Pelodiscus sinensis: one gene and its partner. The protein of the gene in region 1 binds, or shares a complex with, the protein of each later gene. Links are inferred from orthologs where the notes say so. Each region holds a gene or a part of one and is shown on either strand. Other genes may lie near its edges. The genes, in order: AGT and DPP3.

Region 1 (11,725 bases):
ATGTCAAAATAACTTCTTGTAGTGTAGACACGGAGTATGTTATTTTGGAATAATGTCAGGTATTCCGAAATAACACTGCTGAGTAGACGTATCTTTATAGACCAGTCTCGTGATAAACTTGCTGCCTCAAAGAGCCAGTGTCTTTCATCGGAGGATCTCAAGTTAGTTTACTGAGACCCAGTTTTTCCTAAAAAGTTAGGTTGACTCAGCTAGTTGCCCATGGATGTGAAAAATCTCCCCTCCCCTCTCCCCCCCGAGCAACACAAACTTACCTAAGCCCTGGTATAAAGAGCGGTAGGTCTAATTCCACTGTCAACCTCGCAGATGCCTCTCACAGAGGTGAATCACCTATGCTGACATGAGAAGCCTTACCATTGGCATAGGGAGAGGCTACCCTGAAGCGCTACAGTGGTGCAGCTGTACCCAGGGCAACAAGGTGAGTTCTAGGTAACCAGAATGGAACTGCCCGGATGGGACTGTTCTCCTAGTCTTGTGAAACGCTGCTTCTCTTTGCTGAATGCTGCTTTCTTTTCTGGGGAGGGGACTGGACCAGGAGCACTTCCCACCTGCACCATGTGAAATGGGCAGGAATGGAATCCTGACTTCAGTAGAGCTCAGGGAGGTTTCTGATATTCCCTTGCGTAGGGCCAACACAGATGCAGAACAAGCTGGCAGTGGGCATGTGTGAGGGGGGGCGCACTCACCACCGTAACCCCCTGCCATCTGTCCTCCGGAATTGGCTCCCTTGGCAGGTAGGGTGCCTTCTCTGGGGTGGTGTCTCCCCTCTTTACTCCCGGCTCCGGCGTCCTCTTCGCCACACTGCCCTCCAGCAGTGCCCAAGTCTGTCTCTGAGCCCCCCTTCCGGGGGTTGATGTTACTCCATCGGGCCTTCTTTCAAGCCCTGCAGTCTGAGGATTTGCTGGCCAGAGCTCCCCTAGCCCTGCCTGGCCTCCCCAGCCCTGCCCTAGCTCCAGGGAGCCTCCTCCTCCCTCAGCAGCCAGGTTCTCACTGCTTCCCCTTTTCACAGCAGCAGCCCATCCTCTATTATAGCGCCCAGCTGGGCCCTAATGGACTAGTACAGCCTCAGCTGGGCTAATCTCCCCGGCCCTGGTTCCGGCCGGGGTCTGCCCTTAAAGGGCCAGTGCAGGGCGAGCGCCCTGTCACAGCATGGCTGGCTTGTTTCATTGGCTGGGGCCCAAACAATGTTTTCTCTAATCGTTTCTATCCATTTGCAGATTTTTTCCATCCCCGTGTGGAATAGAATTTTATGTGTACCAAGGCATGTACAATTGTGCACCACCAATTGAAACACAAAACCTAGCTATGGACTGTCTGCCAGTCAGCTGGGCAGCATTTGAATATTTCCCATAGGCACACAGCTTATGGGAAATAGTGGACACAAACCTATGGATCTTTATACAACTGGTCAGAAGAAATTGCCTTCCAGTCTTTTCTCAGTTTCCCTTATGCACAGCAATGATGCTGTGGCTGGTTTACAGATGTTGCCTTCCACCGTCTGTCTGTAAATGAAGTACTGATGGCATATGCAGCAGGGGAGAAGGTTGACCTTGTGCCTAAGGCACAGGTATGGGACTCATGAAATGTGGACTCAGTTTATGACTCAGAGACAGACTTTCTGTGTGACTATGGGCAAGTCACTTAATCGGTAATAGGGGGGTTGTAATACTTCCTTTCTCCCACCCTTTGTCTTATCTATTTAGACCATATGCTCTTTGGGTAGTGAATGTCTTTGTACAGCACTGGGAATAATGAGGCTCTTGAGCTACTAACAATGCAAATTATAAATCATAATAGCTGTGCTATATGTAGTAGAAAGTCCCACCTTGCAGTACTCTAGGTTTTCAACTGAGGTTTTCCATCTAACTGCTGTGATCAGCCTTGATCCTGAGAAAGCAAAGCCCAAGACATCAGAGTTGCGAGGGGATATACGTGCCGAGTTGCAAAAACAGATGAGTCTGGAGGTCATTAGCCCTGAGATTATCCCCTGAGATTATCATTCAAATTAATGCTCATCGTTCTTACCTTTTAACTGAATGTAAGTCAGAAACAGCAGGCTGGTAGAAGGGTCTATGTTTGTCAGTACATTCTTGCTTTTGCTGGTATCTTTGTCTTTTACAAAGTTTTCTATTAGTTCTGCTGCCTGACTCGGGTTTGTAAAGTCAACTGCCCGGGCATAGAAATAATCAGAAGAAGGGGCCAGGCTGTTCACAAGTGATTCAGATAAACGGACACTGGGAGCAGAGAAGAGGCAGGAAAGCTTGGAAAAAAGTAGGTCACCAGCTCCACTTGAGAGGGGCAGGTTCTCAATGGTCTTCAGGGTCAAAAGGACTTTGTGTCCATCCACTTTGGAGGTGCAGTCCGGGTCACCGGAGGGAGGAATGAATCCCAAGAACTTCTGTAAATCATCAGCTGTCTGTTCGGAGGCCCCTAAGTAGAACGATAACAAAGACCTGTAGAGAGTGGTAGGTGACAGGAGAATGTTTTCACCCTTCAGAGTTTCCTTCAGCACATCATAGAAGCGCATACCAAGAACATACACTAGGTCTTTCAAGTAGCTCAGCCTCTGGTCACCCTTGATATCTGAGCTTTGCCTTTCCAGCTTGGTTTTGTCTTTCAGGGTCTCTTCATAGGCAGGGATGGTTTGGGACTCAATAGAAACGGGAACAAACATTTTCTCTTCTTGCATCAAGTTGACCAGGTTCTCACAGCTGCTTTTGTTATAGGAAAACAAATGGAAGGGGTGGACGTATACCCGGTCGCACATTACGGGGCTCAGGCACAGGAAGAAACACAGAAGGCTCCTTCTGGGATTCATGGTGAAGGACAATGTCAGTGAAGTCTGTTTTAAAAAAGGAAAAGTGGGGGGGTTAGCTAATTAACTTGCTGTCTACTTTGCTCCTTTCTTCGGGAGTGTGTGGTGTTAATATGGCTTTTCCTCACAGCACAGGAATCCAGACGAGTGGGGGTTTTCTAAAAGGGTTTAGTATTGGTCTGACTCTGCCCTTACTGAAATCAATAGTAAAAGGTCTATTGAACTCAATGGAAGCACATGCTGGGCATAGGCGCCAACTTCCTTAGTTGTCAGGCGGTACCCGCACTCCACCGTAGGTCCCATCCACTCCATCCCTGCCCTACCCTACCTCCTCCTGCCATACCTCTTCCACCCTTTCCCTTCTCCCCCAGTGTCTCCCGCGCATCACCGAACAGTTGATCAGGGTGGGCAGGAGATGCTGGGAGGAACGTATCATTGGGGCCTTTCTGCAGGTAGGAGGCACGGATCCATGGGGCTGCTGGTGAGTGCTAAGTACCCACTGTTTCTTTCTTACAGCCCCACAACCCAGTTTTACAGCTCCACAATCCAAACCGGAGCCAGCTGACCCAGGCCAGCCATGAGTGTTCAGTTGCAGGGTAGACCTACCCTGGGAGACTGTCTTGTCTGTGGGATTGTTCAGTCTTTCCTGGGTTCCTTAGTGACCCCTCTCTACAGCCTCCTTTGAAAGAACTCTATGAGTTCTGGCAGGGCTCTGTGCCAAACGGGACAGAGAGACTGTCACTCCTAATATTCATAGAAGAGAATACAGATATTGTCCTAGATTGTCATAGACATGTTGCTGGCCACCGTTGTTACCACCCTCACAGTTTCCCAGTGCAGCCCAAGTCCCAGTATTACTTCCCCCAAATGAGCACTGAGGCTGTGTCTGCATCTGAAAGAAAAGATTTCACTCTCCGAGGTGGCCAGTCCAGAGCCTTGCACCAGCACTGCATAGATGCATTCAAAGCAAAACTACCCCTTCAGCCAACAGCTTTACCAGCCTTTGTGCTTAGGCTCACCTTGCCCTCTTATGATAGCTTCCTCAGCTCCAGCTCCGCTCAGCCCCTGCAGTATCTGAAGTACTGTACCATGACGGCTGGCATATTTATGCTTTTTCCAAAGGGAAGACCCTTTCCTACTGTCCCCAGTGCTGTTCCACAGAATGACATTGCATCACCAAGTGGAGGGGTGAGCGGAGACTAGTTGGGACCAGATGAAACACGAGGATAGCTGAACACTAGACCTATTGGCGGGTTTAAAGATCAATACACAACCTTTAACCGAGCACAGTATAACCTTCTGTTACACATTCACTGGCCTGGACTGTGACAGTCTGTTATGCATATGAGCCCATATGAGCCAGGTCTTGTAACCTTTCACCTCTTTCCCTTTCCTGCTGACTAGAGATACATTGCTCCGTTTAGGACCAAATTTATTCCTGGTGTAATTCCATTAATATGTGACTTTAAAACCAGTTTAAAGCTGCACTGCAGAGACATTCTTCTAATAATTGGGAGTGGGCCCTTTGCACTAGAGTAGGGTTGCCATGGCTTTGGAAATTAATATAGGCCTAAAGAGAGAATGTTGGCTTTCAGAAGAAAAGTATCTTTTCCCCGTCTTTCATTGCAAGGATCTCTAGCAGTATAGACGCTAGAGATAGAGGTGGTAGAATTGTGCATCCGGCACATCTCTGTGTACAACCTAAGCAGCAATTAAGAACTCCAGGAGGTAAAAGCAAACAGCATCCTATAGACACTGGTTGTACACGCAAAGACAAAGGTATAGGCATTTTTCTAAATTAATCCCATTGGACTACAGCCACTTTAAGCGTACACAGAAAGCACACAAAGCTCTCAAACCTGCTCACAAATCAGTGAAGAAGTTCCCTGTCTTGTTTCCCACGCCTTGTGTCTGATTTCAGGAGCACGATTTGCTTCCTATATGATTCCCACAATTGCCTAATCTGGGTTACATATTAGCTTTCCCCTCTTATCAGATTTCTGTTCAAAATGTTCTGGGATACGGTGCTGGGTTTTTCCATTTGTTATTCATCGTCATTGTCACCTTCTGTGAGGAAAAGCAAATAATGGCTGAAGAGCTGATTTCATCAGTATCACAGTCATTATTTCCACTGCCGCCTAATGGCTGGTCTCTTTGGCAATATTGAAATTAAATCCGTCTGTGACAGGTATTCTTACTGCCCTGCAGGGCCAACGTGGAATCATTGCTGTCAGATGAGCCGTTCTTAGTGTGTAAACGTTGTCAAATACTCTCCATAACTGTTAATCCTAGCAGAGAGACCTTAACCTTACAGCTAGCTAAAGTGTAAATATTATGTACAGAGAATGCAAAGACATTTGATCCAGGTACTTGTTTCTGCAGATCAGCCCAAGGATGTAGGCTACTCCTTTGCTAAGATGGACAGTCTACACTCTTAATAAGTGACTGGGTGATGGGGAAAGATCTGGGAAAGGCAGGGGGAAATTCACCACTTTGCTTTTGCACAGAAATAAATGTAAATAATGTATTCAGTTTTGTTCAATCTGGCTTCCCATGCTTCCTCCTTTTGCCTGAGACCTTTCTGCATTAACAAAATAAAGGGGGCACATGCATGGTTGCTGTGACTCTCTTGTCTTTAGTGATATGCTGAGAATTGCTCTGAAGGCGGCTGCTGTGGCTAGAAGGTAGTACTGATTCTCTACCTTTGTTGGCATGGCCCATGGCTCATACTTAAAACTGGAGTTTGTCCCTCTCCACAGAATAAGTTAACATGCCTTACCCACCTTATGAGACTAGGGATCCATGTATAACCAACCCAGATGTAGTGAAATTCTCTTTATAATGAAGCAAAATGGCCATGTTCAGGGTTTTTTTCAGTGCATAGCAATATGCAAATAACAAGTCTGAGGGTAGTGAAGCTCTGCTTTGTTCTGGGAATAAGTGGCTTCATTGTAAAAGGGTCTACTGTACAGGTAATGGAAATTAATACAGGCCTAAAGATATACCTTTTGGCTTTCAGAATAATAGAATCTCTTCACCATCTTTCATTTAAAGACATCCAAGAATATAAACTCCAGATGGAAAGGTGGTTGTTCGTCTGATGTTGTTAAAATAGGATACACCTTGAATAGAGCTGAGCAAATACTGCATTGAAGTATTTATAAACATTCATTTGCAGAAAAGCTGTGAATTTGCTTTCATATTAGTGACTTTTTTGTTTCCCTTCAGTGCTTGTAACCATTCATGAGCAAGGAGAATCAGGGGGAAAGCAGTAGGGACAAGGGAAAGGAAAGCATATGCAAAGATAGAGGAGGAAAAGTTGATGTAGTTACAGTGAAAGACGTAGCTCAATTTGCATAGCTGATTTTGAGTTAAGCCCTGCTGCGCATATGCACCTAATGGGTAACATGCTGAAAAGTACCTAAGTGACTGAGGAGTCCACATTCTGTTTTCAAAAGTGATTCAGGCACTTAGGTGCCAAAATCTCATTAAGACACACCAGCATGTCTAAATAACTTTTTAAAAATGAGTTGTAGGTTCTTATATCGCTTAGATGCTTCTGAAATTCCCCCCACCCCCCTCAAGAAGTCTGCACTGTGAATAATTTTGAGAACCCTGACATAGATGTTGTATTAGGGCTTGCATTTAATTTCTTCATGCCCTCCAAAATCTGTGTTCTCCCCTCTCAATTTGCTGCACATTAGCAGCCAGTTTCAAAGTAAACAGACTGAGGAGGGCACAGATCAAGTTTTAGTTTAAAACTAATAGAGTTATGAAGAGAAATAAAAAAACACTTTCCTCTTACCCTGTGAGAACTATTGCAATGCTGTTCCTGATTTGAGCCTGATTTTATTTATTTTTGCTAGCTGTGATGGCAAAAGGCTATACAAAGTGATTTTGTTAATTATTATAACAAAACATAGATAAGAAATAGCTTGGTAAGTGGTTTTTCCCCCCCTGTATTTATTTACAGATCTGACTTCTACCCTTGAACTCTGAAAGCACTAGTCTCTGAAGGCAGTGGGCTATTGTAGAGGGCTGGACCAATTTTTGCATTAAAAAAACCCATCAAATTATAGCATTCAAAGTACAAATGATGAAACGGGCATTATTCTACCTCAGCATTTGCCACAAGTTCCCATGAGGAAGAAGAGTGTGAAAATCTGTGACAAACTGGAGACAACAAGCAAGAAGGTCTAAGAGTTCCAAAGTTTAAAGTTGAAGAAGATTTTTACTGTTGCTTTGTTTTGAGTATTATTGGGCCCAATTTTTTATTGGATATTATTTGATTCCTACTCAGACAACATGTGTATTTAAGCCAAGGAAAGGCTGAGTAAGGACTTCCAGGAGTTTGTCTCGGATAATTGCCCCAAAGAGGGCCAGTACCTCACAAGTCTTGTGATGCGCCTATCATGGCTGTCTTCAGAGACACAGAAATTCACTGCTTCCCACAAGAGCTAACAAAGCACTATTTCAAGAGACTATTGTGGCTTAAAGGGGCCAGAATGACATCCTTGGAGATTGAAGTTTTCCATTCATCCAGTAGCCTGTCTGGCACTGGCTATGTCTGATTCCCCACAATGCCCCTCCAGCAAACCTGGCATCAGCTTGTGCAGGGTCTGTGGGAAATAACACATGAAAAGCCCCCATCTAGCTGCCTCTACACATATGAACAATCCCTCTTCCCCCACACTCCCTCCCCCACCCCTCAGCTCTCCTTGTTCTAGCCTCTCAGTCTCTGTAGGGTGGCTGCCAAGGAGAGACAGATGAGCATCCAAATTAGTGTGTCTAGGGCAGCTTGATTTCCTCCCTCATGCACTCAGAATAATTAGGATGCTATGACCACACCTACATGCACTAGCCCTTAGCAGACAAAACTGAATCTGGCATGTCATCCAATTCTAGTGCACCTATTGTTGTGTTGTATCTGAAAAATGGCAGAGTGCCAGGATTTTCAGCTCATGAGACACAGAGCTCCACCTCAGCGTCCCATCTCTGGCCATACGGCTTTGTGAGGCCACTGTCAGCCATGGATTTTCTCCTTCTCCCCCCTGGGCTGCACAATTTGTTTTGCTGCAGTCACTATGGTAACAAGCAGGGTGAAGTGCAATGCAATGCAACCTAGGGAAGTGTTAGATGATGAATGACAACACACAGCCTTGCAGGGCTTGGAGAGTGGCAGGTTGTGTGAGAGAAAACAGGGAGCAGGGGGAAGAGAAAGTGAAGAGAAAAGAAGAGCAAAAACATGACTATTACTTGCATTACTTTGTACTGAGGTGGCTCCTACAGGCCCAGGCCATAATGGTCCCATTGTGCTCGTGGCATACCAAGAGACAGAACCCGCCCTCAAAGGCTTACCATCTAAATTGATAAGACAGGCAAATGGTGGGAGAAAGGGAGGCAACCCACATGCAAAAAGTTAAGAACTCAGTCAAACGGAGATTAAGTGACTTGCCTCCAAATCCAGAGTCATCCATTTCTCAGGCAACCAAGGTCAAAACACAATCTAAGCCTCCCTCTTCTTTGACTAAGAACTAGGATGTGCCTTTTATACAACTTCCCTTTTCCCAGCTGGCCTTGCTCCCAGCTGCTCATAGTCATTTCATCCCTCTAGAGCAGGATGGGGAACCTCAGGTCTGGGGGGCCAGATGTGGCCCTTGGCTTGCCTAGATCTGGGCCCTTGAGGCTCAGGGATGCCCCCCAGCACTGGGGAGCCTGCACTGGCACTCAAGTCCCCTTGCTGCCCCAGCATGGGGCTAGAGCACACAAAATCTACTAGCCCAGGCCCCCCTAGGCCCTGGTGTGTGAGGGGAATGTGGGGAGTGTCTTTCACATTCTCAGTCAGGGGCCATGTCAGTGAGGGTTTTGTTTTGGTTTTTTGTTTCTCAATTGTATTTGGTCCCCAATTGGTTTTATTGTGGGTCAGTGGCCCCTGATCCAAAAAAGGTTCTGCCCCCTCTCCCACCATTCTAGAAACTACAAATACCAGAACACCTGTCCAGAATTCAGAGCAGGACACAGGTCTGCCCTTAAAAATAAGCCCAGCCTATAATATGAAATTAAACCCTTTTCAAAACAATATATTTGTTGCAAGGAAGTATTCAAATAGTCATCACAAAATTTCCAAATTTCATTCAGCCTCCCACATATTAACATTCAGGTAGAATGAAAGAAAGTGATCAAGTTTATTCATTAATATTGGAGATGCACTTGTTACGTTAGAGGCCTTAGTTATGAATTCACACTGTTTGGCACTGTTAAGCTAAATACAAATGCTGTAGGGCTGTGTCTACACTGGGCCACTTATTCCGGAAAGTCAGCTGCTTTTCCGGAATAAGCTGCGAGCTGTCTACACTGGCCCTTGAATTTCCGGAAAAGCGACGACGCTCTACTGTACAAAATCAGCTGCTATTCCAGAAAAGCTACGCTGCTCCCGCTCAGGCATAAGTCCTTATTCCGGAACACTGTTCCGGAAAAGGGCCAGTGTAGACAGCCCAGTAGTCTTTTCCGGAAAAAAGCCCTGATCGCGAAAATGACGATCGGGGCTCTTTTCCGGAAAAGCGTGTTTACATTGGCCACAGACGCTTTTCCGGAAAAAGAGCTTTTCCGGAAAAGCAGCCTGCCAATGTAGATGCTCTTTTTCCGGAAATACTTATAACAAAAACTATTCTGTTTTAAGCATTTCCGGAAATTCATGCCAGTGTAGACACAGCCTAGGTGTTTTAAACACAGAAAGCCTAATTCTCCATTGCCCAGCACTCTGTGGAGCCTGGATGCCAGAGCACAAAATGCTACCAAATCAGACTGAAACCATCCACTTTGCACTAATGTGGATGATTACAAGGCACTGGAGAATCAGGACTGGAGTATTATGGCTGCTAAAATCCACAAAGACACATAAGTGAGTTACTTATCTAATAAACACAGGAAAATAAAGCAACAACAGTGGCAAAGTCCTTTGCAAGCCTCTGATAGCCCCACTTCATTCCTAGGTTTAGGTTCCAGCTGTAGTTATAATCGCCTTCACCTAACACATCTTTTCCACTCTGTCAGCCCAGACTGTTGCTGACAGTGTAGTGGTAGTGCCCAGTCACTACCAGTACCACAAAGCTGCTGCACCACAGCCTGACTCGAGCTCCGGCAGCTGCCTGCCATGTGGCCCACACCAAGAGCAGCTGGACAGCCACAGCGCGGCCCTGGCTGCAACTCCAAGATAACCAGTTGCTGCAGAAGAACATCAAATGTTTTCTATAAATTTACAAGATAAACACTGAAGAAGCATAAAAAACAACTAATAGTCTTGCAGCACCTTAGAGACTAACAAAACATGTAGATGGTATCATGAGCTTTTGTGGACACAACCCACTTCTTCAGATGACTGGAGTTATTAAAGGTCCAGTTTCTAAATAAATAGGGGATGGGAGGAAAAAGAAATAAAGGGGAAAGAAATAGTCAGTGTGTCCATGTTACATGAAGCTGATAGAGAAGGTATTAATTGTTCTTAAGTACCCATTGTTTGGTTTTTTTATGTCATTAGGATGTGGAATGTAGCAGGCCATCTAGCCAATGTCTATATTCATACCTCTATTATAGGAATCGAACTTGTAAATGAAGTTACGTTCTAAGGCCTCCCTGTGGAGTTGGCTTGTAAAATTGGCCTGAAACAATATAGTGACTTTGAGATCCATTAATGAGATCCCGGGCAAATTCAAATGTTCTCCAACAGGTTTGTGTGTGTTGCCTTTTCAGATATCTGATTTGTGTCCATTAATCCTTTGTTGTAGAGACTGTCCAGTTTGGCCAATATACATGGCAGAGGGGCATTGCTGGCATTTGATAGCTTGGATCACATGAGTGGATGTGCAGTTAAATGAGCCTCTGATGTGGTGGTTTATGTGGTTAGGTTCTGTGATGATATCGCTTCTATAGATGTGTGGACAGCTAGTGAAAATGAAAATGGCTTATGGAGGAAATCACACCACCAAATCAGAGGCCAGGAAAAGAAGGACAAGAAAACAGTCACATCACTACCCCGTCTGTTAAATCAGCTGTCTTGACATCTCTCTATTTGGATAACCTGGACAGTGAGGATGAAGTTCTAGCTGTCTCAGACATGAAGATTCATTCAACTAGAGGGGTGCAATCCAGAGGCTCAGAGAAGAACAGGCAGCAGCAAAAAAAGCCATTTAGACTTGACGTAATGCCAAGACCAACTTGCTGAATGGAGGGAAGGAAAGTAAAGCAACACCTAACCCAAGCCAACAGAAGCTGCAGAATTCTATCAATATCTTATTGTTGGACAGCAAAACACTTCCAACCAAATAGGAAGACTTTAGCCTGAGACTTCTTCTGAGCCCCGGCTCCAGCTCCAGCAGCCACCATATGGCCCATCCAGGCTGCACCTCCAACCCTGGGGAAGGGCTTATGCTGGGGGCAGGCCCCATGTGCTGGCTCCAGGCCCCATGTGCTGGCTCCAGCCCTGGAATATGGAGCAGCCACCCACCATGTGGCTGTGCCCTGGGAACAGCTGGGCAGCCACCATGTGGCCTTGGCCCCCCCACTCTCCCACCAGTTCCCAGCTCCCCCCAGCTTACCTTGCAGGAAGGTGAGTGCTGCTATGTGGCTCTGCTGAGGAGGTGAGTGGAATTAAAATTCTTTGTGCATATCCAGGCAGGCACACACCCTAGAGGGAACTTAGGTCACAAGAGTGAAATGTTTGAAAGCTGCATAGAAACTTTTAAAAACACTATAATAGAGTGTCAAACTAAAGGTACACCCCAAATAATAATAGTAATAAATAATAATTGATACTAAATAATATAATATAAGTTATTACTATTAATAATAAATGCCACCATGTCTAAACAGAGAAAAAGAGGTGGTTAGAGACAA
Region 2 (12,444 bases), on another chromosome or scaffold:
GATAATGCCTGGGAGGCACAAGAGATTCTGGATAGGGATGCAAGCAGGGAGGATTCTGGGTAGCCCTAGGGAGGTGCAGAGGTCTGTGGCACAGGCACAAAGGATCATGGGTAGCACTCACAGTTGGGGATGTTGATGCCGGCCGGGATCCCACTGCCTGCAAAGGTCAGCACATCCAATGAGGTGAAGTCCGGCATGAGGAAGGTGTCCTTCTCGAAAGCACGGGGCCAGGGCAGCTCCAGCAGCAGCTGCTCAGCTGATGCCACCAGCTGCGCAAACTTGGCGCTCATGGCCTTGTTCACTACAGCCACGAATCCTGGGGGAGACAGTGGGTGCTGTGGAAGGGGCTAGCTAATATTGCCTCTCTGCCAGCCAGCCACGCTCCACCCACCGCCACCAAATGCAACCCAAACAGTGGCACAAACTACACTCCCTCCCTTACAGGCACCCCAAAGCAATTACAATACACACCCACAGCCCTCAAAACACACCTGCAGTACACAGTTGCAAGAGACACACCCCTAAGATGGAAACACCCCGCTCAGCAGTCAGCCACACCCTAACACAGTTGAAGTACACATGCCGGGAAGCACTCACCCCGGCTCACAGTCAGCACGTCCCCTTCCCTCCCACTACTTCAAACCGCGGCCCTCAGAGTCTGAGGCCAGTGTGTTTTACCTTCAAACTCCCCCCGGGAGCCATAGGGGTCTCGGTAGCTCTCGATAAAACCGATGTAACTGTAGGAGGAGAAAGCACATTAGATGGCCTGGCCTGCCCTGGGGCAGAGGAGACAAATCCCTCTGGTTCGCTGACCCCAGGAGGCAAATATCCCTATCAACAAATCCCTCTCCTTTCCCACCCCTCCAGTTGGCACCTGACTTCTCTCAAAACCCCTAGCTGCCGCGCCTCCCTGCTCAAACACCATGTCCCTCCCACAGCTGGGGACATCCTGGTTCCCAGCCTTGACCTTTCGACAATAGGCCCCTTGTCACGGATCCAGCAGCGGGAAGCCTCCTTATGAGCAGCAATGGAGCCCTGGGTGAAGCTGTGGATGTAATGTTCCAGCATGCTCTCCTGGTTGGTATTGGCAGCATAAGCCTGGGAGAAAGATCGTTGATCAATAATGACTATTCCTCTGAGTTCAGCCATTCCTCTCCCCAACCCCCTCCATACATTTCTGCCACTTCCTCAACCTCAGGAAGTGAGAACCCAGGAGTCCTGGCTCCCACTTCCGCCTCCCAGAACTGGGAACAGAACCCAAGAGTCCAGGCTCAGTCCTTTGGCTCCAAGACCATCCCCTCTCTCCGGATATAAAACTAAGGTTTTCCCCTGGTGCCAGGGTTAGGGTTTAAAACCTACAAACGTTACTGAGAGATCCCCGCCCTCCACCCTCCCACAGCCTCGGACCAACCCCTCCCCAGTGCATACGCCGAAGGGACATGCATGCCTTTGTACGTTGTAGGTTCTCCACCACTTTCTCCAGCAGGGGTGCGTAATCCCCGCGGGTCACACAGAACTTGCAGCTCTCAAATTCAAAGCAGCGCAGCTTGGGGGCCAGCTCAGGATCGACAGGTGCGTCTGGAGAGAGACCCAGAGACACACAATTCAATGGGGAGGTGAGGGGAAGACAGCAGGGACTGGGGACTAGCATGGGAGTGGGAGCCAGGCAGCAGGCGAGGTGGGTGGTATAAGGGAGTACAGGTTGGGGAATTGAGGACAGATCCAGACAGTGTGGGAAGCATAAGTCAGAGGGAGTCAGGGAGGTGGGTGCTGTGGGGAGCGCAGACCAAGGAGATCCAGTGAGAGGGCAGAGGATGGGGAGTCTTACCAGTGCCCAGCACGGATGCCAGCCGCACCTCATAGCACGTCTGCCCTGCCTCATCCTTCTTCTTGAAGAGCCGTGTGTTGTAGGCACTGATGGTCTAAGACAGACAAAGAGATTTACCCCCATCTGACACTGCTCCCCACTCACAGGGCACTCTACAATCCCATGCAGAGGTTCTGGGATCAGAATGGGAGCCAGTCTGGTGCTGGGCACTCCCCTGTATGCAAGGGTTGTAGCAATGCAGAGGCAGAAAACACACCCCACAAAAGCAGTCAGGCTTGGGGTTGCCACGGGGGGACCCGGGGAACGTCCCATGTTTGCGCAACAACAGGTACCTGTGAGTCGAGGAACCTCTGGGCTAGCTGGGCATCTTCCAAACTGCAGTTCGCAGAGAAATAGGTGGTAATGCCCTGTGGGAGAGGGCAGGATGTTACAGAGAGACAGCTCAGCCCTATCTTTTCACTGCGCGCCTCGTCTCCCAGCTAACCCTCATCTTCCCCTGGCTCTAGGGTGACTAGAAATTGCTAGGATTTTTAATCAAATTTTTAAATGTACAGCCAATTTTTTAATCATTAAATAGACTTCTCTTTCCCAAGAAAATGTGTTTAAAATGCAGTTTGAACTCCTGACAGGCTCTGTCAAGCCCAAAACGTACTGCAAGCCATTAGGAAGAAATACACAATAGAAGAATATAGTACTTGGATGAGCCCTCCTCAAATCTTAAAGGGGGAAGTGCACGGCTTGCATACTTATATGAGCATTTGGGGCTAAACCATCTTTAATGGCAGAGGATGAGCCAAGCTTTATGCAGCTCACAACGGCCTGCATGTCCAGAGGACAGAGCAGAGTGAGACCTGGGTATGCCATCAGTTTGCCAATGGAGCAAGCACTGCTATCTGCATTATCTGAAACCACAGTTCTTTCAGTTTCTGTTCTGCACAAAAGCTCCCGCCTTAAGTTAGTTCTCTAGTTCAACCAGGAATTAATTCAGGGCAGCCCTATGACCTGTGACCTGATAAGAAATCAGACGACCGCAGTGGCTCCTCGTAGTCTAGAAACCATAAATCAACCCATATGAAGGGTTTATACCAACCAATGAGAATAAACCTTACTTTAGGAAAGCAACTAAAAAGTACAAAGAAAAAACAAGATGACAATAGGCTATTTCAATCAAGGTTTCCTGCTGGCTGATTTAAATCACTATTCAAATCAGTAGTTTAATCACTGATTTAAATCAATCCACCATGGTTGCTCCCAACCCTCCAGAATCATCATGTGTGCACAAGTGGGGTATTACCTTCTTTCCTAGCCCCAACTGTCTCTGCCGTGGGTCCAGTGAGAACATCAGCTCCCCACATCTACCCCACAGTGACTCCATTTCCTCTGGCTGCTCCTGGAATGCCTGGCTCTGCCAGATCAGCTGCTGGAGCTTGTCCTAGGAGGCAAAGGAGAAAGGGACTGAGCTGTGACTGAGAGGGGAATAAGTGGGCTGGAACCATGATATATGTGTATCGGGGCAAACAGCAAACTCCCCCTGCCTCTCTCCATAGACTATTCAACTCAATCAGGTACCTGCCTCGCAGCCAGTGAGGGGGATGGAGAGTGATGAATAGCTGGGTGAGGCAGATAAATACACACCCTGCTGCAGGCAGCTTGCACAGAGCTTTTGGCAGGAGGATGAATCTGTGTTGGGGAGCAGTGTTTTCCCATAGACATTCCAAAACATGTTTCAATCCTGTGCCCCAGACATGTGGTCCCTACCTCCACCCCCCGCAACCACAGACTCACCTTGGGCAAGTTGGGTACAAACTTGGTGTCCCCAAAGGATTTGTAGTTCCCCATGTTGGAAAACACGCCAGCAGCATAAACCAGGAACGCCTAGGTGAGAAGAGGAAAGATCAGTTCCAGCCAGGCACCCACCTTTCCTTCCCTTTCTCTAGCCCACTAAAAGCGAATTCCATATCAGAGCCAAACAAACCCAGCAGATCAGCTTCCCAGCCCCTTCCCACTGCTTTAAACCATTAGACTTTGCTCCCCACCCAGAGCTGGGGACGGAATAGAACCCAGGCCTTTGGGTAGGGCGGTACCTGGTACTCCTCGTCAGTGAGGCCAGCAGAGCATGCCAGTTCCCCCAGCTTGTTGGGGTCCTGGGCGCGGAAGAGGCGGGAGAGCAGCACGTAGATGGCTGGTGCTTCAGGCGAGGTCTGGAGCAGCACAATCAGCCCCCCATACCAGCAGGCACGCGACAGGTGGTGGGCATAGAGCCGCTCACCCTGCAGCAGCAGCCGGAAGGCCTCACTGCAGTCCAGAAGTGCCAGCCCCACATCGTTAGGCAACACGTACTGGGGGTCCACCATCTCACTGGTCAACCTGCAGAGAGAGCACAGGTGTCCCTCAGTCCCAATCCACAACCTGTGTTCAGTCCCAATTCACAGCTCCCCACCCTACACTCCAATATCCGTCCCTAGGTTGGCTATATCCTCCTCACCACACTCCCATACAGCAGAAAGTCAGCGAGGACAGACAGCTGACAGCTTGTGCCCCACAGCTGAGCCAAAGTGGCATGGGCACAACTAGGGGCACAAGCACAGTCATGCAATAGCCTATCTGGCTCACCCACAAAACCACACAATTGCCCTTCCCAGCACCACTGTACAACGACACACCCAGCCCAGGATGCAGCACCCTGCGAAAAGCTGGATAAGGGATCCTGCCTGCATTAGCTGCCCCAAGCCCACCCTAGAGGCGACTATATCTCCGCATCAGACCCTCCCGACCGTGCCCCATTGCACCGTCACCCGCTTCTCTTGCAGCAACATCTGCGCCCACAAGTGCCTGCACACACCCCCAGCTGCGGGCGCATCCCCAACTCCCTGTGCCAAGGCCCCGGCTCTGGCTCACACCCGGCGTCTCCCCAGCCCGGGGAAGGCCTGTGCCCCTTGCACCGCGGGGCCTTCACCCCCCCACGCCTCCCACTGATCTGAGGATTTCCCCCCTCGAGCCCCAGGCACGCCCCGCCCCCCAGTGGGGAGCACGAGACCCCCCCCCCCCCCCCCGGCACCCAGCTCACGCTACAGCACGCGCCCTGCGCCCCCACCTGCCGCCGCTGTCCTGACTTCCTGCTTGCAATGCAGCCAGTCCGCCACCGGCTTCCCCATTCATAACCTCGGCCCCGGACCACCCACCAATCCGTGCGCCCAGCCGGGGAGACAGACGCTACGGCAGCCAATCGAGCAGCGGGAGCGTCAGGACTTTTCCTCCCCAGCTCCTCCCCTTCCACACGCGGTACCTTAAAGGACTGGTCCGTATGCTGTCGCTTCAGGTGCTGTTGTCACATAACCAGTAGAGGGGAAGGCCTCGCTCATCTCCGAGCTAGCCAGGCTAGCTGCCCTGGGTCTGGCTCAGCTGGTCCCTCCAGTGGGGGGAGAACCCTGTGCTCCCCATGCCCCGACAAAGCGGATTGGGTCCCGCACTTTCCAGAGGGTTGCAGGCTGGAGTACCTGGAGCACAAGGAATGTGGAGGGAAGGTTGTTAGCCTGATTTACAAGTGCGTGTGGCTTTTCTGATTTTCCAGAAAGTTTGCAGCCAAACCCATATGGTGGGGTACTATGATCAAAACCCTGCAGGATTACAAATATTGTATTTGTGTCTGCACCTGTGGGATTGTCGGGTATTGACCTGGACAGTCTGATTTTTGCCTCCTGTCTGGTTTAAAAAAAAATACAGAAAATACTGGACACCTAAAATGTCTGGTATCTTCTGATTTTTTTTTCCCGGCCAAGAGGCGAAAATCCCAGGTGCTTACTGGGTTCTGCAGGGGCGCTGTCTGGCCTTGAACAGGGAGACAAGATGGCGGGCGGCTGCCAGCAGCTTGTTAGGGCCAAAAAGCCTCAAAAAGGTCAGGCTGTTTCTGTTTTTTTTTAATTTTTAAAAATTTTTTTGCTTAACTCTCAGGGTCCTTTTTTGTTTAACAACTTTGGTCTCCCCACTTTCTTCTCAACAGAATTTTTTCCCCAGTGGTTTTTTTTTTGGGGGGGGGGTATTTTTGGTTAAACCATCTGGCAACCCTATGCACCTGTACCTGCAAAAATGAACTGCAGATAGCCACACTGACATCCGCTGATACAGACACCCACAGATATCCACAAATTTGCAGTTTTCTAGATACAGAATTGGTATCCACATCCCTGTCTGCAAAAATGAGCTGTGGTTATCTGTATCCACATCAGTGAAGGCCTGTGGATTTGCAGGGCTCTATCTATGGTGGGCTGCCTGTATCCACTGGCAATTTTACAGGAGCATGATTATTAAACTACCATATATTTGAGAGTTTGTGAACAAGCAAATCTGTATGTCCAATTGTCTGTTCAAAAACTCCTCCTTAATGATAAGAGCTAGGACCACTAAATGTGGTATGTGGCTTCCTCTTTTCATAATTTAAAGTAAGGTAGGGGTTTGATTGTGTGAGGAAGCCCTCCCACATGCACACTTGATTTGTACAGGGATGCATAAAACCATACAGAAAAGTGACAGAATCACTAGGCTTTCCTCCTTCCCTGATTCATACAGGAACATTACTGGCTGTTCCCTTCCATCAGAGAGCAAGTGGAAAGTGCACCTTGAACTCTCCACCTTTGGCTCTGGATACCTTCGCCACTGTGCCACCAGAGGAGCCCCCCAACATTCTGCATCCCCCTTATCCTTCCTTTGTCCCCAGGGTGCCAGGTGTGTACATCACAAAGCTGGTGGTGGCTGTCCCCGCAGGGGTGGGGTGGGGTTAAGGTTAGGACACAGTTTGTTCCATTCCTCTATCTGGAGAGCGCAGGGGACAGAAGAACCATGACCTGCCCAAGCTGGGGGACATACACCCCTCCCCGACTGCCTGCTGCAGTTGCAGTGGCCATAGAGAGGCACTTCTTACCTAGCCCCAAGCTGCTGTGGTGAGAAAGGGCTGGAGTAGTTCTCTCTCCCCAGGGCGGCCTGCATACTGAACCCCTCATTCCCAGAGCAATGATTTAAATTAACTGAGTTATGGACCCAAGCAATGCTGGGTAAATAGTCTAGTTATTTATATTACAGGCATACTGATCAGATTTGGATAGCAGGAGCAACTTTAACCATGATTCCAGAAGCTACTTGGAAACCTAAAAACCTTTGGTTTTTTCATATGTAATAACTTTTATAGAATTTTCCTGGAAGATAATATCTAATTCCTTATAAAGAAAATTGAATAAATATTAGACCCACTCAACTCTAATACTAACATGTTCAGATACCTTGTCTCAAGACACTTAAGTGACATTGGTTAGGCTTAAAATTTTAATGTACAGGCAGTCCCCGGGTTACATGGATCCGACTTACATCGGATCCCTACTTACAAACGGGGTGAGGCAACCCCACACTAGCTGCTTCCCCCCAGCAGACCAGGGAGACGCGAAGCTAGCGCCCCCGCCAGCAGACCAGGGAGACGCGGAGCAGCTTTTCTCAGCAGACACCTCAGCTTGAGAATAAAGGACTGAGGGAAGTGAGGTGTGGGAGAATAAAACTGAGCTCTGGAGAAATGTTTGGCTAGAGTTTCCCCTACAATATGTACCAGTTCCGACTTACATACAAATTCAACTTAAGAACAAACCTACAGTCCCTATCTTGTACGTAACCCGGGGACTGCCTGTATATTCTTACTTTGTTACTATCTCTTGAATACAACAATGATAAAAATTACAGAAAAAAATCGAGATGACTTTCTATCACTTTTTTGCAGTTCATCAAGCTTTGAATAGATTCCTTAACTTTTGGAAACATCCTATTTAGGGCAAGACCCAGGGACTTCATACTGCACCCACCTGGCGCTCCAGCAGTGTTACCCCATGACAAATAATAAACTAGAAAATTACTTTAAACACTACCGAAACTGACTTTTTCAAGTCACTTTCATAGTATTGCCAACCCCAAATGTTCAATAATCAAGACTTGGGCAAAACAAAAATCATGAGATTAGCTTTAAAATAATGAGATTATGTAAAAATAATAGATTTGGTGTGTTTTTTAAAATTATATTCCACTTTTGATCCTTTAAGGTGCACTGGGGTCACATTTGGAAGCTTTCTCTGCAGCCAGAAAAGCTAGAAACTTCCTGTGTCTTTAAGAATGAAGGCTGAAATAATACCGTATCACTTGACTCCAGGTACTGGGGCTTTAAGGAATGCAATACTTATGATGAGGCTCATAACAAAATCATGGGATTTGGCAACACTTCCGTTCAAAAGCTAGTTACTTTCCAGAAGGGTCTTAAACATAAGGCTACAGGGATTGAATTGCAGTTTTCACAGGAGAATATTTTAAAATCAAACACCAAGAAAAATTCCATGTTTTAAAGATGGAGGAAGAATGAGACTTCTGAGATGTCAGAGCCATTGGGGCAGGAAAGGAAAATGAACAGGCCCAAGAGCTCTAGTCAGCTCTTCCTCTTGAAAGAAAGTTGGAGGGTCAAATCTTCTAGTCTGTAATCAAGTACAACTTCTCTTGCCATCAGCACTACCACTCGTAGACATAAACATCACCATGAACATGTAATAACAGGTGTAGTCAATAACTCTACACTTCATACTTAACTGTCTGAGCCATCTTATCAGAGTTACACATCTTACACGCATTGGCCAAGGGACTACATTTCCTGGCGTATTCTCAACAGTGAATCACACTTTTAATGACAATAAATGTCAACTTTATGGATTCTTGTAGATGCAGTTTCTGTTCTTTGTTCTGGAATTGGCCTGGGTACAGCTGAAACCCAAAGGACTGGACGTATGATCACATCTGATACTCATACGACACTTTCTCATTCCTTCCTTTTCCCAAACTCAGAGCCAAAAATGAGAAACCAAAATGGGTTTCAGTTCCAATCTAAAATTACCCACCAGGTGTTGCCGTACAGCTTTGTCCAGGGCAGAGCCTGTCACCCACTGATGGGTAAGTGCTCTTCTCTCAGCAGACTCCCATTTTCTTTCTCTCTTCATCCTGCCTGACTTCTCTGCTGCTTTTCACACTGTCATCCAGTGCATCCTCCCAGTCACCTGGCACGGATTGCTGGAGTCTTAGAGAACTGGCTGGCCTGGTTTTGTTCCCATCCATCAGAGGCCTTTTTTTTCAGCATGGAGAAAGGCTGGAGCAGTGGATAGTGACCTCATATCTGAGTTCTACTCCCCGCCCACTGCTATGGATTTCCTATATGACCTCAGGCTGTATTTTACGGACATTTCAAAGGGTTTTAAGCAACCAAAAGTACAGCTGTGTTGTGCTTAAAAGAAGCACCCAGGATCTTTTTCAGGGGGATAAGGCAACACGCCACATTTATTGAACATACATAGATCAATCAATACTTATCATATGCATATTACACATTACACTCATGCACTCACACACACAAGCACACTCTGGCTGTGTCCAGACTCCATGCCTCCGTCGACGGAGGCATGTAGATTAGCCAGATCGGAAGAGGGAAATGAAGCCGCGATTAAAATAATCGCGGCTTCATTTAAATTTAAATGGCTGCCCCGATCTGCCGATCAGCTGTTTGTCGGCAGATCGGGAGAGTCTGGACGCGATGCCCCGACAAAGAAGCCTTTCTTCATCGACACAGGTAAGCCTCGTGAAACCAGGTTTACCTGTGTCGATGAAGAAAGGCTTCTTTGTCGGGGCATCGCGTCCAGACTCTCCCGATCTGCCGACAAACAGCTGATCGGCAGATCGGGGCAGCCATTTAAATTTAAATGAAGCCGCGATTATTTTAATCGCGGCTTCATTTCCCTCTTCCGATCTGGCTAATCTACATGCCTCCGTCGACGGAGGCATGGAGTCTGGACACAGCCTCTGTCTTCTTGTTACCAAAAGTTGCTCCCCCTAACTGCACTGGCCAGGTGAGTTAGATGTGGGAGGGGTGGAGCCGGGCTTCTGCGGATCCGGATTCATGCTCCTGTGTTGACAAGATGAAAACCCGGGGTCCCTCTGCAAGATGCCTCCTATTTATCCCTCTCATGCAGCCAATTAGTCATCACCTGGCCTTTCTTAATGCTGCTTCAAAAAGAGTTCTTCCAAAGGCAGGCACTTGCTGCTTGACTCCTAAGGCGTCTGTAGATCCAGTCTTCTTAATGAGCTCACTCTGCAGGTATTGTCTTAGATCTGGCTCCCAGACCTTCTCCACCCTTGCAACTGCTGCTGGAGGTGCTCACCTTTCATTCTCCATCACACCTCATTCATTTCAACAGGACAATCAAGGAAAGAGGAGAGCTCAAAATACATTTTTTCTTACAAGATCTCTATATCTTAATACAAAGTTATAGGAGAAATGTTACAGAGATTCTATAAGAACACTTAACAAAGATATATCTAAAAGGACAAGATCTTAATACAAAATATAATATTACAGGGATTTATCCACAGCTGGGTATCTCTTGGGGGATACAAAGCATGTAGCCTTCTAGGCACTTTTGAAAGCTTTAGGTGCCTATATGTCTGAAAATCTGGCCCTTATTCTCTCTGGCTACGTCTAGACTGCAGGCTTCTTGCGCAAGAAGCCTTTTGCGCAAGAGTTTTTGCGTAAAAACGTCTTGCACAAGAGCATGTCCACACCTCAAAGCGCATCGCAAAAGTGATGTGCTTTTGCGCAAGAGAGCGTCCACACTGCATGAACGCTCTTGCACAAGAAAGCTCTGATGGCCATTCACAGGAGGAGGTTTACCTACACCAGCAAAAGCCCTCTGTTCTGTCATTTTACTGCTGATTTAATTGCACAAAAGTGCATTTGAGGTGTGGATGCTCCTCTGGTTTTTGCACAAAAACCTTGCAGTGTAGACGTAGCTTCTGTGCCTTAGTGCCCCATCTTTATGGACTGAGCTGTCAATTGATGGATCTCATTTTCTTTCACGCCATTGGTGAACAACTAAACCAGTCCTCGATAGGCAAATCTGTTTATGGATGTCACATAAAAATCTGCCATCTGTGGGTGTTGTACATTCTTCACATCCTACACTTTTCTTGTCATGTCTGGATACGTTGATTCTCAATGGCTTTGTCTATACTGCAGGGTTTTTGCACAAGAAGCTTTTCGCAGAGGAGATCTTCCACAAAAACTTCTTGTGCAAAAGCATGTCTACACCTCAAAAGTGCATCGCAAAAGCAATGTGCTTTTGCGCAAGAGAGCATCCACACTGCATGGATACTCTTGTGCAAGAAAGCTCTGCTTGCCATTAACAGAATGGCCATCAGAGCACTATGCTTTTTTTGATAGGCTCTTTGTGAAAGAACCCCCTGTGGAGTGTCCACATATAACCACCACCAGGCAAATTTGAACCTGGGACCTCTGTAGCAGAGTATAGGAGCCTCTACCCACTGAACTAAAAGCCAGCTGGCTTCTAGCCCATCCTGTAGAGGTCTCTTAATCTTAACTGTTGCTGTGGTCTAGGTACCACTTGCATTGTTCAGTAGCCACACTAGGGCTATGTCTACACTCGCGGCTTCTTGCACAAGTATGGCCATTCTTGCGCAAGAATCCGCAGAGCGTCTACACTGCCTGCCTGCTCTTGTGCAAGGAAATTTACAGTACGGCGTGGTAAGAGAGGGCTCCTTGCACAAGAGCTACACTTTTTTTTAACAGGTTTAAGCCCTCTTGCGCAGGAGCTCTTTCGCAAGAGGGCAGTGTGGACGCTTGGCAGGGATTTCTTGCGCAAGAAAGCCCTATGGCAAAAATGGCCGTTGGTGCTTTCTTGCGCAAGAGAGCGTCCACACTGCCATGGGAGCTCTTGCGCAAAAGCACAGCACACACATGGCAGTGTGGACGTTTTCTTGTGCAAGATGTTCTTGCACAAGAAGCCACGAGTGTAGACATAGCCTAGGTGTGTGGGTTATATACTTCCCCTAGGTGAGGGAGCGTATCCTGAGCTTCAGGGACCCAGTTGAGATCCTGGACAAGCCCCCATTTGTAACCGCCACCAGGCATATTTGAACCTGGGACCTCTGAAGCGGAGTATAAGAGCCTCTACCTTCTGAGCCAAAAGCTAGTGGGGGTGCCCAGCCCATGCTGTAGAGGTCTCTTGATCTTAACTATTGCTGTGGTCTAGGTACCACTTGCATAGCTCAGTAACCACACTAGGGCTGCGTCTAGATTGGCATGATTTTCCGGAAATGCTTTTAACGGAAAAGTTTTCCGTTAAAAGCATTTTCGGAACAGAACGTCTAGATTGGCACGGATGCTTTTCCACAAAAGCACTTTGTGGAAAAGCGTCCGTGCCAATCTAGACACGCTTTTCCGCAAAAAAGCCCCAATCACCATTTTCACGATCGGAGCTTTTTTGCGGAAAACAAATCTGAGCTGTCTACACTGGCCCTTTTGCGCAAAAGCTTTGCGCAAAAGGGACTTTTGCCTGAATGGGAGCAGAATAGTATTTCTGCAAGAAGCACTGATTTTACAGTAGGAAGTCAGTGCTTTTGTGGAAATTCAAGCGGCCAGTGTAGACAGCTGGCAAGTTTTTCCGGAAAAGTGGCTGATTTTCTGGAAAAACTGGCCAGTCTAGACACAGCCTAGGTGTGTGGGTTACACACACATGCCTTTTTGCACAAGAGCT

The links.
Region 2: the proteins of AGT (region 1) and DPP3 are in contact, whole or in part, in a crystal structure (PDB 5E2Q), measured with the Homo sapiens proteins. The link is inferred for Pelodiscus sinensis from reciprocal best matches to the Homo sapiens genes AGT and DPP3. Residues at the interface, in NP_001369746.2 of Homo sapiens: Asp25, Arg26, Val27, Tyr28, Ile29, His30, Pro31, Phe32; in NP_005691.2 of Homo sapiens: Phe109, Glu316, Tyr318, Glu329, Phe381, Gly385, Ile386, Pro387, Ala388, Gly389, Ile390, Asn391, Ile392, Asn394, Arg399, Val412, Leu413, Val415, Ala416, Phe443, Val447, His450, His455, Glu507, Glu508, Asn545, Arg548, Leu552, Glu555, Phe556.

What each region holds. Positions count from the first base shown.
Region 1 is NC_134713.1:122,674,047-122,685,771, reverse strand, and holds the start of AGT (angiotensinogen), read right to left. Parts: upstream 4,853-11,725; 5' UTR 4,701-4,852; exon of another isoform or gene 4,693-4,700; intron 4,021-4,692; exon of another isoform or gene 3,853-4,020; intron 2,861-3,852; 5' UTR 2,837-2,860; coding exon 2,044-2,836; intron 1-2,043. Other genes in the region: CAPN9 (calpain-9), read left to right, coding at 11,258-11,469. UniProt on the Homo sapiens protein: Essential component of the renin-angiotensin system (RAS), a potent regulator of blood pressure, body fluid and electrolyte homeostasis.
Region 2 is NC_134721.1:32,443,918-32,456,361, reverse strand, and holds the start of DPP3 (dipeptidyl peptidase 3), read right to left. Parts: upstream 5,025-12,444; 5' UTR 4,988-5,024; coding exon 4,923-4,987; intron 4,918-4,922; exon of another isoform or gene 4,896-4,917; intron 4,196-4,895; coding exon 3,913-4,195; intron 3,704-3,912; coding exon 3,614-3,703; intron 3,261-3,613; coding exon 3,123-3,260; intron 2,236-3,122; coding exon 2,161-2,235; intron 1,923-2,160; coding exon 1,829-1,922; intron 1,579-1,828; coding exon 1,448-1,578; intron 1,099-1,447; coding exon 968-1,098; intron 738-967; coding exon 679-737; intron 317-678; coding exon 122-316; intron 1-121. UniProt on the Homo sapiens protein: Cleaves and degrades bioactive peptides, including angiotensin, Leu-enkephalin and Met-enkephalin. Also cleaves Arg-Arg-beta-naphthylamide (in vitro).